Caenorhabditis elegans: one gene and its partners. The protein of the gene in region 4 purifies or fractionates together with the protein of the main gene of each other region. This does not show direct contact. Each region holds a gene or a part of one and is shown on either strand. Other genes may lie near its edges. The genes, in order: F43C11.8, gck-3, pals-26 and Y55F3BL.4.

What was found.
Region 1: the proteins of Y55F3BL.4 (region 4) and F43C11.8 fractionate together in Caenorhabditis elegans (co-fractionation; one large-scale study listed by BioGRID). This does not show direct contact.
Region 2: the proteins of Y55F3BL.4 (region 4) and gck-3 fractionate together in Caenorhabditis elegans (co-fractionation; one large-scale study listed by BioGRID). This does not show direct contact.
Region 3: the proteins of Y55F3BL.4 (region 4) and pals-26 fractionate together in Caenorhabditis elegans (co-fractionation; one large-scale study listed by BioGRID). This does not show direct contact.

What each region holds. Positions count from the first base shown.
Region 1 is NC_003280.10:2,330,911-2,334,848, reverse strand, and holds F43C11.8 (RING-type domain-containing protein), read right to left. Parts: upstream 2,330-3,938; coding exon 2,254-2,329; intron 2,209-2,253; coding exon 2,042-2,208; intron 1,930-2,041; coding exon 1,861-1,929; intron 1,335-1,860; coding exon 770-1,334; intron 725-769; coding exon 655-724; intron 604-654; coding exon 579-603; 3' UTR 511-578; downstream 1-510. Other genes in the region: ZK1240.1 (RING-type domain-containing protein), read right to left, coding at 3,135-3,155, 3,207-3,247, 3,299-3,608, 3,663-3,717, 3,767-3,938.
Region 2 is NC_003283.11:17,963,716-17,968,678, forward strand, and holds the start of gck-3 (Germinal center kinase 3), read right to left. Parts: upstream 3,049-4,963; coding exon 2,862-3,048; intron 1,604-2,861; coding exon 1,419-1,603; intron 23-1,418; coding exon 1-22. UniProt on the Caenorhabditis elegans protein: Plays a role in osmotic stress responses by regulating ion homeostasis and by controlling cell volume via the phosphorylation-mediated inhibition of the chloride channel clh-3.
Region 3 is NC_003281.10:4,373,167-4,379,420, reverse strand, and holds pals-26 (Protein containing ALS2cr12 (ALS2CR12) signature), read right to left. Parts: upstream 4,098-6,254; 5' UTR 2,919-4,097; coding exon 2,913-2,918; intron 2,437-2,912; coding exon 2,236-2,436; intron 2,192-2,235; coding exon 1,937-2,191; intron 1,488-1,936; coding exon 1,107-1,487; intron 1,041-1,106; coding exon 588-1,040; 3' UTR 514-587; downstream 1-513.
Region 4 is NC_003282.8:803,259-806,739, forward strand, and holds Y55F3BL.4 (SRR1-like domain-containing protein), read left to right. Parts: upstream 1-1,843; 5' UTR 1,844-1,874; coding exon 1,875-1,937; intron 1,938-1,990; coding exon 1,991-2,094; intron 2,095-2,348; coding exon 2,349-2,895; 3' UTR 2,896-2,978; downstream 2,979-3,481. Other genes in the region: mrpl-46 (Large ribosomal subunit protein mL46), read left to right, coding at 132-220, 808-1,012; Y55F3BL.6 (YqaE/Pmp3 family membrane protein), read right to left, coding at 3,168-3,293.

The DNA of each region.
Region 1 (3,938 bases), on a different chromosome or scaffold from region 4:
CGGAATTTAAAACTAACTTACCAGTTTGCCGAATTTGCCGGAAAAACGGCAACTGTGGAACATTTTTTGCCAAATTGTGGTCTTGCACATTTTTTTGGAAGTTTCAGAATTTCAATTTTAATCGGTAAAATTGTACGCATCCTATGAATCTTCTTATATCTATTTTGAAATTGCCAAAATTGAAAATTTCCGGCAAATTGACGCAGTTGAAAATGTCTTCAAATCGGCAAACCGGAAAATTGCCGGAATTAAAAAATACCGATGAATTGGCAAACCAGCAAAATGCCGAAATTGATAATTTTCGGCAAATCGACAAACCGGCAAATTGCTGAAATTAAAAATTTCCGGCAATCGGCAAATTGCCAAAATTGAAAATCTCCAGCAAATTGCCGCATTTGAAAATTTCCGGCAAATCAGCAAACCGGCAAATTTGCCGATTTGCCGAATTTGTAGAAAAAAAACTCTGAAAAAGATTGGCCCATGTCTGTTCGCTTTTGAAGCGCAACAAAATCATCAATCACATTTTTATTTATGTACAAACATTTTCAATTAAATATCCTATAAAACCGTCGTTGGCATCAATCAGAGCAGCTAGCAGGTTGTCTGAAAAAAAAAACTTTTATATAAAAATTCATATTTCTCTCGTTAGCTTACCTCCTAGCCCTGCAAAATTCTTCAAACTCGCGAGACAAATTGTTGTCAATTCTAGAAACTTTCGTGACTTCTGAAAAATCCAATTTTTCCAATCAATATTTTTTCAAAGACCTACGTATGACAAGCCTATCCATCTCTGGAAAAATCAGTGCTGCGTCAAAAACTTCAGGCTCAACATCAGCAAATTCAGTCCAGAGCTCATTCTCGCTGCTCACTTCCAGCGCAGAATTCACCGCGAGCAAATCTGCATTGCTCATTTTCATAAACAGCTTCAGCTCCGCACTTTTTCGCTTTTGCCGGTTCAAGGATTCCGATAGCTCTGCGATGAGCAGGTCGTTCGTGAAAAAGTTAGTTTCCGCGATGTTCTGAAGCGTCGCAAGAGCATCGTTTTCGAGAGCATCCAAGGTTTCTCGTATTGAAGCGTAGAAGGCTATTATCGAAACCTTTTTCTCTTGAAATACCTCCCCATCGTCGAGATTTGTTAGCTGAGCTGTTCCGATCTTTTCGATATTCGCATCAATTTTACTTGCCAGGTCTTCGGATCTTGAAAGCTTCCCGCTCAGAAACTGTCTCAACTTTGCCGCTTCTGATTGTAGTAGGCCTCGATTGTGTCCGGCGTGAGCTCCAAACTCTTCGCAGGTACGGCACATGAGCTTATCGCTAGATGAGCAGGTGGGCTCCTGGAAAGAATGCTAGTTTCTCAGGCAAGAAGAGGTGCATTTGGCTCTAGCTTCTGGCCCAAGTTTGGCGCAAAAAATAATAACTTGTTTCAGACGTTGAGCAAAAGTTGGGCAAAACTTGGATTCAAACTCCACCAAAGTTTAAAAAAAGGTTCAACCAACTCTGCCAAACTTCTACATAAGTTTGAAACGAAATAAGAGAAGTTTGGGCCAAACCTTTGGTGCAGCCTGAATCCGAGTTTTGCCAAAGTTTTGCCCAAGTTTAGCAAACTTCTGATCCAAGCTAATATTTTTTGGGCAAAACTTGGCCAAGAATTTATAGCCAAATGCCGAGCTTGACCACAAAAGTTGAGCAAAATCTAGGCCAAGACTTTGGCCTGAACTAGGCTCCCACGTACCATTATTTTTTGGCTATTAACCTCGCACTCTCAGAAACCGGCGAGTTGTCGGCTGCTAATAGTAAGTTTTTTAAAAAATTTTTTACAGTTGACATTTTGGGGCCTATCAAAACCTATAAAGAACTCACAATGCACACAAATTCCGCAAAATTGTACTGGTGAGAAGCGCATTTTGGCGGTGAATCAATGGGATCTTTCTGAAAAATTTTATATTTGTATATAAATATATATATGTATATATAAATATATATATGTATATATATATATATATATATTTATATGTATAACTTTATTTCTAGAAAAAAAAACCTCTTCAGTTCTAGTCTTAGCGTGTTCAACTGCCTGTAACAATGCAAAATTCTTCTGCAAATCCTTCACTGTACTGACATTAGTTGCTTCCCGGCAGAATGGACATAAAATCATAGAGTTTTGGAGCAATTTTTCTGCACAACCATGGCAAATTGTGTGGCCACATCCTGAATTTTTATTTTTTAATTTTAGGAAAGGTAGCAAAAGCTTACTCAAAATCCTAGGAATATTTTCATCGGTGGCACTTGAGAAATCTTCGTTGCAAATTTCACACTCAATAAATGACATTTCGGAACTGTACGGAGGGTTGGAAAAATAAACGAATGGTCTTGGGAGTTCTCCCGCTGACACTGCGATAAGACGATAACAATTTGGTGACCAAGAATACACGGAAACCGGTAAATATTTTTTGCTGACTCATATCAGTTTAGATACACCATTTTCAACACTATTGCTAATTCTATGTGGTCAGTTACTACGGATTTCGTAATAGTTTTTCGTAAAATAAAACGTTTTCAGAGCCTGGCGCCTGCCTGAAACCTGCCGAGCACCTATAGCACTGTTTGTACGGGAGCGGGCTTATTTTAGAAAAATCGAAAAATCGAAAATTTTCGTTTTTTTTTTTGATTTTTCGAAATTTTTTTCTCTTATCAATAGAAAAAAAATTAGATAAAAATCGTATTTTATGATTAATTTTTAGATCATTTTTTTTTTCGATTTTTGGATTTTCCGGAAAATCGAAAAAACGTAAATTTTTGTTTTCCGATTTTCAAGTTTTCGAGACTTAGGCTTAGGCTTATGCTTAGGCTTTGATTTAGGCTTAGCCTTTGGCTTAGGATGAAGCTTAGGCTTAGACTTAAGCTTAAATGTAGGCTAGGCGGAGAAAAAAGAGATAAAAAATAAATCCTAGAAAATATGAGAACTCAGAAAAATAAAATACCAAAAAATTAGACATTTCAAAAATTTATATTGCCCGAAAAGGGCCAAAAAAATCAGGATTGGAGAGTTGAATTTTCGGTTGTTTATCGGTATTTGTACAAAGTAAAAAATGATTGAAAACTTTAAAACCAAAAAACTGCCTTGTTTGGAACATTCAAAGCCACAGGGTTATATTCTGAAATTCATGTACCTATAATACAAATGCTAAATTATCATTAAAACCTACATCTGGCTCCAGAGAGCTTGACATTGAAGCATTTGCCACATCTACAAAACTTCCTGACATTGATCTACCAACTTCCTTCCAAATCCACTTACCCACAGCTAACCTGTTCACTTCTGGAAAATTTAATGCTACATCAAACTGAATAGGCTCAACTTCTGTATTTTCCGAGTCATCCCAGAGCTGAATTTCTGAATTTAGAGCTAACAAATCCGCGTTGCTCATTCCCAGAAACGACTTTAATTTCTCGTTTTTCAATTTCTGGGTTTCCAGGGATTCCGACAATTCTTCTAGTAGTAATTTATTGCTAGCTGAATTGGATTCTGCAATTTCGCGTAGTTTTTGATTTGCAAGGGCTTCCTGGGCATCTAAGGTCTCTCGTATTGAGGTATAGTAGACGGATATCTGAAAATGTTCTGGAATTGTATTTCGTCCCCGTTTCAAAAAAAAATCACTAACCAAATCTTTTTTATCTTGAAACACCTTCCCATCTACTTGATTTGTTTGCTGGGCGCTGAAATTTCAGCGAGCTAAAATTGTGATCTACCGCTTTTTAAACTAACCTGTCAACCTCTTCAATGTTCTTGTCAATTTGAACAATCTGATCTTCGGACTTTAAAAGCTTATCTTTGAGCAACGTTCTCAATTTCAAAGCTTCCGTCTGTAGGAGGCCCTTCGAGTGTCCGGCGTGAACTCCAAACTCCTCGCAAGTTCGGCACATTAGCTTTTCGTCGG
Region 2 (4,963 bases), on a different chromosome or scaffold from region 4:
CGTTTCGTGGAAGGCAGTAGGCCTGCAAAAAAATTGTGGGAATTTTAAAGGTAGAGCCGACCGAAATTTGAGACTTTTGCTTTTTTAGACCCAAATTTGGTCCAGATCTCCGAATTTTGTAATGAGACATTCTGAAAATTTCTCAAAAAAAAGTTATGGCGGTTCAAAGTTTGGCAAAATAAAGCCCATATTCAGCTAAAATCAATATTTTTTCCAACTTCTCAGTGTCACAATGCCTGGAACCTAATTCTTATTTAATTATCACTTTTTAATAAATATTGTGGTTTTTGAGTGGGCGTTTATTCGTTGATTTAGGTACATTTATGGTCTTTGGGGTACAAAATTTAACTTTTATTTGTGCCCCACTGACATATGTACTTAAATCAACGAATAAACGCCCACTCAAAAACCACAATATTTATTAAAAAGTGATGAATAAATAAAAATTAGGTTCCAGGTATTGTGGCACTGAGAAGTTGGAAAAAATTTTGATTTTAGCTAAAAATGAGCTTTATTCGGCCGAACCGCCATAACTTTTTTTTTGAGAAATTTTCAGAACGTCTCATTACAAAATTCGGTAGTTTTGGACCAATTTTAATAAAACATTAATAAAACAAAAGTCTCGATACTCACCACCTTAAAGTAAAATTAGGTGAAAATCAACATTTTCACCACTTTTCTCTTGAAAAAAACGAGATTTTTCGGAAAAATTTAAATTTCCCGCCGAAATTTGGGGTTTTCTAGCGATTTTTCCGGGTTTTTCCAAAGACAAATTAAAATTTTGGCTGAAAAATTGAATTTTTCAGATTCAAATTCGTTTTTCTGAAGGTGTCCAGTTGAAAAATGTGGAATTTTTACGCAAAAATTCAATTTTTGATGGATTTTTCGTTATTTTGCTCATTTTTGAGAGGAAAATCACGGCTCACTTCGTGGTGAGACCCGTCGAAAATTTTTTTTCGGGGGAAATTTAAATTTTCTGAGAAAAAACAATTTTTTGGCGGGAAATTCAAATTTTTTGAGAGAAAAAAAAATTTTTTGACGGGAAATTTAAATTTTCTGAGAAAAAAAAATTTTTTTGGCGGGAAATTTAAATTTTCTGAGAAAAAAAAATTTTTGGCGAGAAATTTAAATTTTCTGAGAAAAAAAAAATTTTCGGCGGGAGATTCAAATTTTCTGAGAAAAAAAAATTTTTCGGCGGGAAATTCAAATTTTTTGGCGGGAAATTTTAATTTTTTTAGAAAAAAAAATTTTTTTTGACGGTTAGAAATTGTAATTTTCGCCATTTCGCCACTTTTCCGGAGATTTTCAGTACAAAAAGTGGATTTTTTTTTGCGTTTTTTTACCCGAATTTTTGTCTAAAAATTCGGCTTTTTTTGACATAGAAATTGTAATTTTCAGTCAAAAAAGAAGCAGCATACAGTAAAAACGGTAGCAGTTGCTCCAACTCCAATCGACTCATCCAACTTATAAGCCGACGGTTCTGTTGGCCATCGATCGGCCGGATTAAGCTGTGCAACAAGTGCAGCTGATGCTGCTGCAGCTGCCGCAATCGGTGATGATACTTGAGGTGGTGGTGGTGGTGGTGGTTGGGATGGTTGTGATCCTGCAACAACAAAAAAATTAGGGGTGAAATTCATTTTTTGGGCCTAAAAATTGCGCGATTTTTGAATTTTCTCACCTTTTTTGTAATTTTTTTTTTGGTTTTTTCAAAAAACCATTTTGGTTTTTAAGGTAAAAATTGAAAATTTTTACATGGAACATTCAATGTTGTATGTACTTAAAAATGTAATTTTTAAGCAGAAAATTCGATTTTTTTTCAGCTCAAAAATTAAATTTCGTTGAAAAATTCGACTTTTTACACATTTAAAAAGGTAATTTTTACCGGGAAAAACGTTTTTTTTTTAAACAAAAAAAAATGTATAAAAATCGAATTTTTAAACTAAATTAAAACATTTTTGGAGTAAAAATAAATTTCAAATGAAGAAATAGAGTTTATCTGCCTAAAAAATCATATTTCCTCGACAAAAATTGAAAATTTTAGAGTAAAAATTGAATTTTGTACTCAAAAATGACATTTTTAAACAGATTTCGTTGAAAAATTCGACTTTTCACAGGAAAAACTCTTTTTTTCTTCTTGAAAAATCAATTTTTCCGATTAAAAAAATTTGTTTTTTTTTCACAAAAATCGGAAATGTAGATTTTATAAATTTAATTGATTTTAATTGAAAATATTAGGGTTTTCCAAGTGAAAATTGGTTTTTTTTATGTGAAAAATCAAATTTTTCAGCTAAATTAAATTTTTAGAGTGAAAATCGAATTTTTCCGCCAAAAAATTATATTTCCATGAAGAAATTGTACATTTTAGAGCAAAAAAAAATCGAATTTTTTATTAGAAAAATTAAATTTGATCGTAAAAATTCGTTTTTTTTTCTCAAAAATGTAATTTTTTAAGGAGAAAAATTGATTTTTCACTACAAAACTTCAATTCCGTTGAAAAATTCAATTTCCTACAAAAAAAATTTATTTATACCCAAAAAACCAATTTTTCAAAGCAAAAAATACATTTTGTACCGGAAAATTTCAATTTTATTGTAAAAATTAATTATTTTCCTCACAAAATACCAACTTTAGAAGGAGAAAGATGTAATTTTTACTTTAAAAATTCATTTTTAACTTAAAAAAATTATTTTCGATTTTTTAAATTTAAATAAAAATTAAATTTTACTGGACCTGCAAAAATAATCGGGAAACCCCAATTTTTATTGAAATTTCTACTTTTTCTTCGGAAAAATTATTAGATTTCAAGCTAGAAATTGCCATTTTTCACATTTTTCGACCGCAAAAAAAATCCAAAAAAGCACCATGAAGTGTCGACGTTGATCCGATGCTCGATAATGTATCAGTGTTAAATGTTCCAGTTGTTGTCTGTGTTGTCGAGTATTCTGATGTTATTGTTGAAGCATTTGCAGCTGAATGAGCAGCTGCTGCAGAAGCTGCTGATGATGTAGTTGTAGTATTCGTGTTTCCTGCCAGATTCGAAGAGCTCATTTTTTATATTTTTGATTTATTATATATTAATTTATATTGTTGATGATGATGATGATGTACACAGGACAACACACGTATGAGACTCTGAAATTTTTTAATACAATATTAATAAATTAATTGATATCATTAATCAGTAATATCATTAAGGATATAGTAGATTTGAAAAAAAAAAAAAAAAACGGCTGGAAACTAACTTTTTGTAATCACAGTCTAATTTTGGGTCCGATAGTTCACTGCAACTTTTTCCTCACGAGGGACGAGGAAAAGTGGTTTCTAGGCCATGGCCGAGGGGCCGACAAGTCGGCCATTTATCTTGCTTTGTTTTCCGCCTGTTTTCTTTCGTTTTTCATCGATTTTTTTCGTTTTTTCTTAATAAAACTGATAAATAAATATTTTTGCAGATGCTAAAACAATTTCCAAGTGAAAAAATTATGTATTCAGTGGGCAAGCAGCGGTGAAAGAGGGCAATGTAATATGATGGATTACGGGAATACAAAACCTAAACTTTTTCTGAAACATGATACATATGATGCTTAGATGCTGAAATTACCTGATTTTCATAACGAGACCGCTGAAAAAGTTTTGAGGTTTTCAAAATTCAACTTTTTGTGCGAAAATCTCGACTTTTTCACCAAAAAAGTTGAATTTTGGAAACCTCAAAACTTTTTCAGCAGACTCGTTATGAAAATCAGGTAGTCTCAGCATTTAAGCAGCATATGTATCATGTTTCAGAAAAAGTTTAGGTTTTGTATTCCCGTAATCCATCATTTTACATTGACCACTTTCACCGCTGCTTGCCCACTGAATACATAATTTTTTTACTTGGAAATTGTTTTAGCATCTGCAAAAATATTTATTTATCAGTTTTATTAAGAAAAAACGAAAAAATCGATGAAAAACGAAAGAAAACAGGCGGAAAACAAAGCAAGATAAATGGCCGCTGAAACTTGTCGGCCCCTCGGCCATGGCCTAGAAACCACTTTTCCTCGTCCCTCGTGAGGAAAAAGTTGCAGTGTCAGTTGAAGAGGAAAAAAAAAGGAAGTTTTCACTCAAATATGACTCAAAAATCTGGATTTTTGAGCTTAAAAATTCAATTTCCAAAGAAATTTCCAAGTTATATATACGTAAATGTTTTTTTCGCTAAACAAAATTTTCAGCTCCGTTGAACATTTTGGTTTAAGGCCGAACAATATTTAAAGATTTTTCAGGCTTGAAATCATCCAATTTTTGAGCTAAAAAACGTGTTGCTTTTAGCTCGGGAAATTGAGATTTTATAGCTTAAAAATTATTTTTGAGATTTTAATAATTACACGACGGTGTTTTTCTGGATTTTTGCTCCAAATAGTAAAAATTACGGATATCTTAAGTTTCAATTGAAATTTTTGCGCGCTAAAAGTTCATTTTCAGCCAATTTCTCTCTAGAATTTCATTTCAAAAAAACCTTCAAATTGGGGAAAATCGTATTTTTACAAGAGTCTTTTTAGTCCGAAAACTGGATTTTCTAAATAGTTTATTTACCAAAAAAAATCCAGCTTTTCGCTGTTTTTTTTTTTTGTAAAAATACTTCATTTTGAAGACTTTCGATCGATTTTCTTCATTTTTAGGGGGAATTTCTACCAGTAATTTCCAGCGAAATTTTACATGGAAAAAAGCTCCAAATTTCAAATTTTCAGGAGCAGGAAAAAAATCATAAAAAAATCAAAGATATTTTCAGCCGGTACACATTGGAAACCGCTCTTTTCGTCTGAAAACACACACACAGAAATAAATAAATACAATATAGAATTGATTTAATCGCCTTAAAAATGCCACTTTTTCAGTGAACAAATTATAAATTTAGATGAGAAGGCAGGGAAATTCTATTCCAACAGCGGAAAAATTGGGGAAAAAAATCAATAAATTTGTCACAAATTGG
Region 3 (6,254 bases), on a different chromosome or scaffold from region 4:
AGTTTTTGTATATTTTGTATTTTTGTATATATATATATATATATATATATATATATAATTTGTTTAAAGAGAAATTTCTAATAAAACAATTTTCCGCAAACCCCTGCAAAATCGGACGTGGTAAACGACTGTCATGTTCTCTGTCGTCTCTATTCCGTCCATTACTCTCTCGATATACCCCTCTGTTATATTTTCTCGCTAGTCGGGAAAAACCACCGAGCGTCGTGGCGGGCGCTTGTGAGTCAGCTTCTTGACGGTAGATAAGTGTGGATGGAGTGAGAGGAGGAGTCCTGTGTATGTCGTTGTCAACGTCGACCGAGCGTCCGTGCCAAGCGCTGCGTCACCAGGGGATGACTGTCGGAAGATGGTCAGTCCCGGGTGCATAAGGAGTGGTGGATGGTTCAGGACCGAAAGGTAGCAGACAAAAGCCACCGCGCGGTGCAGTGGCCGGACTGCGCTTGTGAGTTGACACGTATACACAGCCTTCTCAATACCTTCAGACCACTTGTTTTTAGAAAAGAAATTTATAAGTCGGTGTAAGGTGTAGGGTGTAGGTTGGATTAACGTAACTGAAAATATTGTTCAATTTATTGCTCAATCGCTTGAATTTCCTCCACGACTGCATCCACTTCCATTTCTCCATCCTCAATGCTCTGCTGCACAACAACAGTTTCAGATTGTTGAATACTAAGTTTCGAATTATCAGCATTAAGAACTGCGCGTGCAGTACTTCTGGAGATTTCAGTAATTGCATGATAACTTCGAGAAACCAACGGAAGCGAGTTCACAGTTTTGTACAAACTTGCATTCAGTCTGTGAATCTCATCATATAATTCAATGGAGTTTTCGATTGGATCAAATTCCAAAGAACTCTCAAATCGAAAAATAGCCTGTTCCAGAGGTGATGCTTCTTCTTGAATGTAGAGTGCTACTTCATGACATTTCGCAACATTGACGTTTTCTGATTCATCTTGATCTCTGATTGTTCTTGCAGAATATTTCAGATTGTTGAGCTTCTCCTTGATCCGACGTAGAGATGTCTGAAAGTTGGAATATGAATTGCTGTGATAGGCGGGTAGGCAGGCATGAACTTTTCGCAATCATACCTTGCATGAATTAATATGCTTTACTACGTTCTTCGCTTCTTTTCCCTTTTGTAGACAATATGCGTTTGAACCCAAAGAAACCACTGCATTCGATAGTTCTCCACCAGCACTTCGTGTATTATTAACAGCGTCAATAAAATGACTTTCACGAGTGTCTTTGCCACCAGCCACATGAATATTGTATTTATCCAATTTAAATAGCTTCTCCATTCCATGGATTCTATTCTGGTGCTCGATTGCATTATTTTCTTTTTCAATTTCAAGTTGTGCAGTTTGTTTGTGCAAATCTTCAATTTTCAGAGCATTTTCTTCAGATTTCTGGAGCTTTTTCTCATCGTATTCTTTCTTCTCGCTGTGCAACTTTTCTTGAGCTTCTGCTTTCTGAAAATATAATTTTAAAATGATTTTTCAAATTTTCCAAAAATAAATAGCTTTTGCGTAAATGTTAGACTATTTTTTCAATAAAGTCCTAGAGCCTTATGAAATATAGTAAAAATTTTCAGAATTTTCCAAAAAAGTCGAAATCTTTCTAGATACTTTCGGAAATTTCCGATTTATTCCAGAAATATTTATGGAGATCAGAAGCTATTATTCTAGTATAGAAGCTATTATATTATAGAAGCTATATAAATAATTCTAAAATTTCTTTAAGCAGGAAGTTTCAGAAGTTTTCAAAAATATTATACAAACTTTGGAAAAGTCGCATAATATATTTTTTTTCGATCAAAACGTGACTCGAATCTTATTTTTTCTTTATTTACTCTTCCTGACGGTCTTAATTATTTTTTTAAATAATTAATTTGAAATTAAAATTCCTATCTCCAACTAACCTTATTCTTCATATCCACAACATTTTCCTCAATTTTCTTTTCAGTTTCAGCCAGTCTTCCCTGTTCCCGTGTCATTAAATTTTGATGATCCGTCAATCGTTTTGTAACTTCTGCTTGATTCACAATTCTCTGATTATCAAGAAGCTGATTTCCACTTGCAACTGCTTCTTTCAAATTCTCCTCGTTTTGAGTTCGAATTTGATCAGCTCTTGCTTGATCTTCTGCCCGAGTCTTCTGACTTTGCTCCAATATTTTCTGAAATCATTTTTCCAGATTAAAAGTTATTGGAAATCTCAAACCTTCATCATTTCATCCTTCCTGTTTTGTTCAGCAATCTGACTTGCTTCCTCTTGTCTTCTCAATTCTGCTCGTGCTGCTGCCTGTCTTTCCGCTTCCCTTTCTAAAGCTTCAAGCTCCCTTTGCCGGCGCTCACGTTCAGGTTGCATGTTATTTCGCATGTCTTGAGCAATGGCCTCATTGTCAGCTTTGGAACCACCGCCCTAGAAATATTTTTTCACATGTTCAAAAATGTATTTCCATTGTTTCAAAATTTGTTAATTTTTGACTTCAAAATGTTTTTTAGTGGGGATTAGTTTGAAATCACCGATCATCGTTTTAAAATTTCAGCATTTCCAAAAAACTTTCAGATTTTTCGAAAAATTCACACTACGTTTTGGTAATGTGCCAAAAAGTTTCAAAAATTTCAGTTTTTCAAACCTCTAAAATGTTAAAACAAACAATAAATGAGGAAGTAAAATTTCAAAATCATGGAAAACTTTTTTGTTGGTTCATATCCAAAATTGTGGTAGGTGAAAACTGAGTTTTTACAACTTTTTGACTAACAATAAAAATGATCAGTTTTGGAATATTTTGCAAATGATATGTATATATGTATATTTAAAAATTTTATAATTCAAATTATTTAATATCTATTAAATCTAAGATTATATTTACAAAAGAAGAAACTTCAACTTACTCCCATGATTGTCTCTTTGAATTTGCCGAATAGAAAAGTTGAAACTGAAAAATGTCAATTCAGAAACCAACAGAAAAATAGAATGGGTAAGAGGAAAAACAACATTTTACGGCTAGCAAGGTACTGGTGTAAACAAATTCAAATTCAAATTGTGATAACAAATTAAGACATAGCAATGAAAACCTTCATCTTTTTTGCAAGGGAAACTTAAAGTTTTACATTTACTCAAATGTCAGATAAATTCTCATTTTGCCTAATAGTTTTTATCTGTTTGAAATTTTAGTCTTAATAGATTTTACTGGCGCTAAAATCCGTTGTTTTAAAGAAAAACAAGAGTGAGGAAGACTAAGGAACCTGGAGACAAAATGGTAAACATTTCCTCAGTTTTATATTCTAAAGCGACACATGCATTTTGATGATAAGAATCGTTGTTTGCTGAGAATGCAGATTTTCAAAAATAATATTAGTCATTAGAACGGATGCAGCATCATGGGGAAGACTTCGCCCTTCCGTCATGACTCATAGTCAGATATTGTTGATTGTCTAAATTGATATCGCAATATAGAGTTTTGCCATCCCACGACATTTGTGTTATCTATTTATTTCTCCGCCCTCTTTCATTGTTTATAAGCCGTTTCCTCTGAACAAACGGCAAATGTCTCTTAAATCGTAATAAAAGTTATTTAGCCCAGCCAGCCTCTATAATTCTCTTGATTTTGTAGGTATACATTTGTTTTGTGCATTTGAATTAGACAATTTTAAACATATTTCAAAAAATTAAACTACATATAAGATTATCGAATAAATTATTATTGTACTTACCGCATTTTTCTATTAGTTTTGCATCTCACTGCTGTACTTAGAATAGTTATACTTCGTTTGGGACCTAGTAATAAATAATAAGCGACAAACTATAAATAGAAATATAATTTTAAAAAATTTTGTCAGTTGACAAGCTATTGATAGAACACACGACAATGGAACTATAAAAGTCAAATTTGAACAACGTGGGGCAATATTACAAAAGGAATAGAGATATAATTTGGTATATATGTATGTATGTTTAATAGTGAAGGAGTATAGTCCCCGGATAACGCCCCCGGAAGAAAGTCTCAAATTTGTTTATATTTTTAGGTTTATTGTTAGGAAAATCACATTTCTGAGCCTGGAGATAAATAAAATTTATTGCCAAAGTTCAATAACTTTCAACAACAGTGCTGAAAATATTCTCAAAACGCTGCTTTTATAGTGCGAGTGAGAGGCCCTGTTACGCCTTGACCGAATGAAATATCTAATGAAGACGGTGATGTCTAATTTTCAATAGCAAAATATAAAGATACATAGGTGTTCCATGCCAAACACGTTTTGAATTCCAATAAATATGTGCCTCAATATCAATAATTTATTCAGTATACATATATAAGAATAGAGGGAATGCAATTTAACAGTAAATTTGAATAATACTACGGGGCATAAATTTTTTGAACACCTTAAAACAAAGGTAAACACAATTTGAAAAAAATTATTGCCATTAACGAAACAAATCAATTAGCGCACAGACGAAGAATGGAATAATACTAAGAATTATTAGCTTATCTCTTTTTCCAACGGACACTTCAACGTTTTCAGTAACTTGTACAACAAGAGTTGTAGATTGTTGAACACATATATCGCTGTTTGAACTTTGAATAGTTTGCTTAAAACTCTCAGTTATAGCAGTTGTACCGTGATTACTTTTAGCAATTGATGGAAGTGAATTCACAATTTCAATCAAGCCTGATGTTGATTCCAAAACATCTTTGTAGGTTGAAATATTATTATCAATGTAACCATCTTTCAAATAATTTTGAAATCGAGAGATGCTCTGTTCCAGCGTGCCTGTCTTGTTGTGAATTTCTTGAACATTCACAGTTCCAGCTTATATTGGTCTTGTAAAGTTCGCACTGCATCCTAGAAAGGAATTATTGTCTTTTCGACTTTGCCAATATAGGCCTGAAATAAGTTAGATACTGACCGTTAATTAGAAGTCATTAACCAAATCCGTATTTTCAGGCGTATTAAATTATAGAAACGTACTCAGAAATCAAAGTTAAACCTTGTCAATGTATTAGGCAGACTTTTTGTGCCGTTTTCAACATTGGTAAAACATTTGCAAGAGTTGGATCAAACTTGTTCTTATCAAGTGTTGCCAATCTTTGAATGAAGTGAATATTTCTTGGCCCTAAAATGAATTTCTTACTGACATCATATCCAAAATCAAGGGAGACACAGTTAAAGTCTTGGAAGAAGATATGCATAAGTTGAACCGAAGACGAGACTCCGGCCCGGACTCAGTAAAGTCTTGCTCAAATTAAGCACACTTTTTCCAAATACATAGATATATTCCCATTTTTTGCAATATTTGGATAGAAAGTTAGATTGCCAAGTGTGACAAAAAGTATTTAACCAAAACACCACTTTCAAAGTGATGTTAAGGTTTCTTTCATTTAACACTTCAATATGTTCTCACCATACAACTACCAATTTTCTTTTCAACATCATTCCGATTATTTGAATTGTTGCTTGTTTGTAGACAATGTACACTTGAGCAAAGATGATTCAACGAACTGAACAGCTTCTGTCCAGCAGCTCTTGTATCCTCAACACTACTGATAAAATGTCTCTCTTTCGCATCTTCTTCACATCCCAAATTATACTTCAATTCGTCATTTCTGTCCAATAATTTCTGCTTTTGAATTCTTTGTTGGTGATTCATTCTATTTTGCTTCATTTCCAATTCGATATTCAAATTTTCATCGTTAACAGTTTTCATTTCTAAGGCACGTTCTTGCTCTGTTTTGATGCTCTTCTCATGAAGAAACTGCCTTTGAGAGAACATATCCAATTTGATGCTCTCTAAATGTCCCACACTTTGTGTTTGAATTTGGCCGGCTCTAGTATGACTTTCGGCTAGTGTCTTTTGATTTCCATTCAAATTACTCTGCAAAAGATTTCAGGTTAAGTTAATTGTTCGTTTAAATGTTTGCGGTTTTCATTCGACGGAATTCGTTAACTTGTTTTGAAGTGACAACTTTGTTTCGACAAATTTAGTTTGGAAGTTTATGTGAATTCAAATTTTAATTTTTTATAATCAAATCTATTCCGTAAATTGAAGATTTAGTGTTAAATTTCAACTTACATCCATATCTTCTTGAATGCTTGAGAGACCTTGAGTAGATCAAAGAGGAGGATTGAAACTGCAATTTTTGATTCACGCAGCAAAATTTGAATTTTGAAAATATTTGTAGCTGTGAATGACACGAAGGATGTATCGGTTGTGTAAAGAAGAGTGAGGAAGAGTAA
Region 4 (3,481 bases):
TCAAACTTATCTAAATCTAGTCTTGATTATACTCATTTTGAAGATCTCGGTAAGCTGAAATCGAATTTTTCTGAAAATTTGAAAAAAAATGAAAAATTTCAAAAAAAAAACATTAAAAAAAATTTTTTCAGACAGCCGAACGATGCATTGGAGAGCTATCCGGGACCGATTTGAGTGCCGATATCAGTGGAAATGCACCATTTGGAGTGTTCACGCATAGGTTGATACCTGGAAATTTTCGAAAAATGGAGCAAAAATCTGGAAATTTGCGGATTTATCGAGAAAAAAAATATAAAATTACGAAAAAAAAAATTTCAGAGGAAATTTCTCAAAAACGTAAACTGTTGAAACGAATTTGAGGAAACTTTAATTTTTTGTCCAAAAAAAAAAAATTAAAAATCGGTTTTTTCCGAATTTTCTACGATATTTTCCTGAAATAAATCGAAAATTGTGAATTAAAATTAAATTAATCTAACAAATAGCATAAATATGGAAAAATAGTGAATTTTCAAGAATTTTGAAGTTTTCAAAAATTAAAAACTTTCAAAACATTTTCAGACAGTTTTCTAATAAAAACTGTTTTTTTTTTTACAAATTTAGCAAAAAAACTAAAAGTTTCGGTCATTTTTTGGCCGATATTTCAGTGAAAAATTCAGAAAAAAAAAGCAATTTTTATCGCAAAAAAAGATGTTTTAAGGGTATTTACATGTGAGAGGTCTCTAATTTTCGCGAAAAAATCAGAGTTTTAGAGAAAATAAATTCTCAAAATTGAAAATTATGAATATTTAAATTTTTCTCAATTTTCAGATACCCCACACCAATCTCCCAGAAAACCGGTGCTCGCGGAGCCAAAATCTTCTTCTACACTGCAAATTTATCGACAATTCCGACGGAATTCCAAGTAAATCCAGATGACGTCACTGATTATCAATGGGTGAATCGAGAGGAGTTTTGGAAGACTGTACCTGGAACTGAATATAAGAAAGCTGCGAAATTTGCATTTTTGGAATAATTTAATTGATTTTTTTTTGTGTTAAAATTGTGAGAAAATCGACGACAGAAAAATGTGAAAAATTGAAGAATTTTGAGTGAATATTGAATTTTCAGCTCTAAACAATTCGGTGGCCGATCTTTTTCTAGTCCGCTCTCTCAAATTTGTCTTTTTATTTGGAATTTTGGTAGAAGATCTTAAAAATTACTGAAAATTTAATTTTTTTCTGAAAAATTCGATTTTTTTGCGAACAAAAAATCTGGTGGCCGAGCTTTTTCTACTCCCTGAGCTCAAATTTGCGAATTTTCTTAAGTATTTAAAATCTGGAAGGCTTCAAAAAAATTTTTTTGGTGACCTAATTAAGCTTAAAATCTTCAATTTCCGTACATTTTCCCTTTATTTTTATCGATTTTTCTCATTTGTTCGTAGTTTTTATTTTTTAGAAGGCTTTTATTATTATTTGTTGATTGTTTGATTCAATAAAAAATCGATTTTTGAAAGAAAAAAAACAATTTTCGAAATTTTTCTGTGGGTTTTTTAATTCCTGAAAAAAATTACTGAAATTTCAAGTCGGGAGCCTGGTTTTCGGCAAATTCGCGATTCTAGTCCTCCATTGCAGAAAAAGTTAGGTCACCAATAAGATTTTCACTTAAAATATCAATTTTGTGTCAAAATTTTAAATTTTTATGTGAATTCAGCAGACTTTAAACCAAATTTTAAAATAAAAACCAAAAATTCAAAAAAAAAATTTTTTTGGAAATTTTGAAAAAAAAAATATTTTGTGAAAATTTCAGAACTATCTTTTCAAAAATTTCATGGTTTTTACACATAATCAACTGATTAAAGCTTCTTCTTCCATATTTTCAGCCAAAAAAACCAAAAAATGGAAGACGACGGATTCACCCTGGTCACTGGTAGAAAAGCCGGAAAACAGTCGGCGAAATTTGTCAGTTTTCTCCAAAAAACAAATTATCGATTTTTTACAAATTTAAATTTCAGAAAAAAACAGAAAATGGAAAGCATATTCGAGTTGATGGAACACTGGAAAGTATCGAAAAAGCTATGGAATTGGCGAAAAATGGGATTCTGAAAAGCGGATTGGGGTAGGTTATGGTCCTTTTTGTGAACAAAAAACCGAGATTTTGATAAGAAATTAGGTTCTGAAACTGAAAAACATAAAAATTTAAGATTCAGAAATTAAAATTTTAGAATTTCGAAAAAATTTTTTTTTGAAAATAAAAAAAAATTTTTTAAACAAATTCAATTTTTTTAAGAAAACTATTTTTTTCGCAAATTTTTTTTTATTTTAGCAAAAAAAAATTTAATTATTTTGTTTCCAAAATCTCAAATTTTCCAGCACCTGGCTCCACCACAAGCTCCAACTCCTCATCTCCCCCCACCAAAAAATCCAAACCATCTACGTCATCGGAAACGGTCATTTCGACGGCTCAACGGAGCCCGGAGCCCACCAACTTGCTCTTTTCCTGGAAATTTCTGAGCAATTCCAGTGTCCCATCATTTTCCAAGAGCCAGTGTGCTCTGCCACGGAGCTCAAATGGCTCGAATCAAAAAACGTTGAGATTCGTCGAGAAATGGACGCAAAAATCGATATTTGCGAGGAAAAATCGATATCATCGATGTTATCGATTTTCGCATTCATCCACGGAGAACACGAGATTTTCAACGAATTTTTAGAATTTAACGCCGGAAAAATCGATAATCTAATTGTGATCGGCAACGACTACGGCGGTGCCAACTGGGAATTGTCGAAAAATCGCGAAAAAATGCCTAAAATCACGGAATTTTGCGAAAAATCGATAATCACCGCGTTTCCGGCGATCTACGAACCGAATTCCAACGCGTTTTCCAGTACTGTTATTATGTCTTCTTGTGATAATCAATAAACTTTTTTGTTTAAAAAATATCGATTTTTAAAACCATTTTTTCGTTTTTTTTTTGTAGAAAAAATAAATTTTTTTTAATTCGATTTTTCATAGTTTATTCTGTAAAAAAACGATTTTTCCGTAAAAATCGGAGTTTTCATTGATGGTTTTTTTTTGTTGGAAAAATCGATTTTTTATTAATGTCGTCTGAAAATCGATTTTCAAACAACACTCCGATGTTCCGCTAGCACGCCAGTGCTCTACTACCTTCGACAAGACTTTTTTTCTAAAAATCAATGTTTATGACAACAAACAAGGTACAATGCGTGAATTATTCCTGGAATAACAAAGAGACATGTGAGAAGTATGCTGAGCAGCAAATGGAGCCCACAACCAGACGTCAGAAGTACGGAAATTGGCTGAAAAACTCAAAAAACTCAAATTTCCGTCTTGATTGATATTGGGTTTCAAATGACACTCCGATATGGTGGTGCGCGTTGTTTAGTGCGCAGGAGATTTGGCGGGAATTCAAATTTTTAACGTTAAAGCTCTCCAAAAACACTGCAATAAGCAACGCCGAATATCGGTTTATCGATTTTCCACTAGT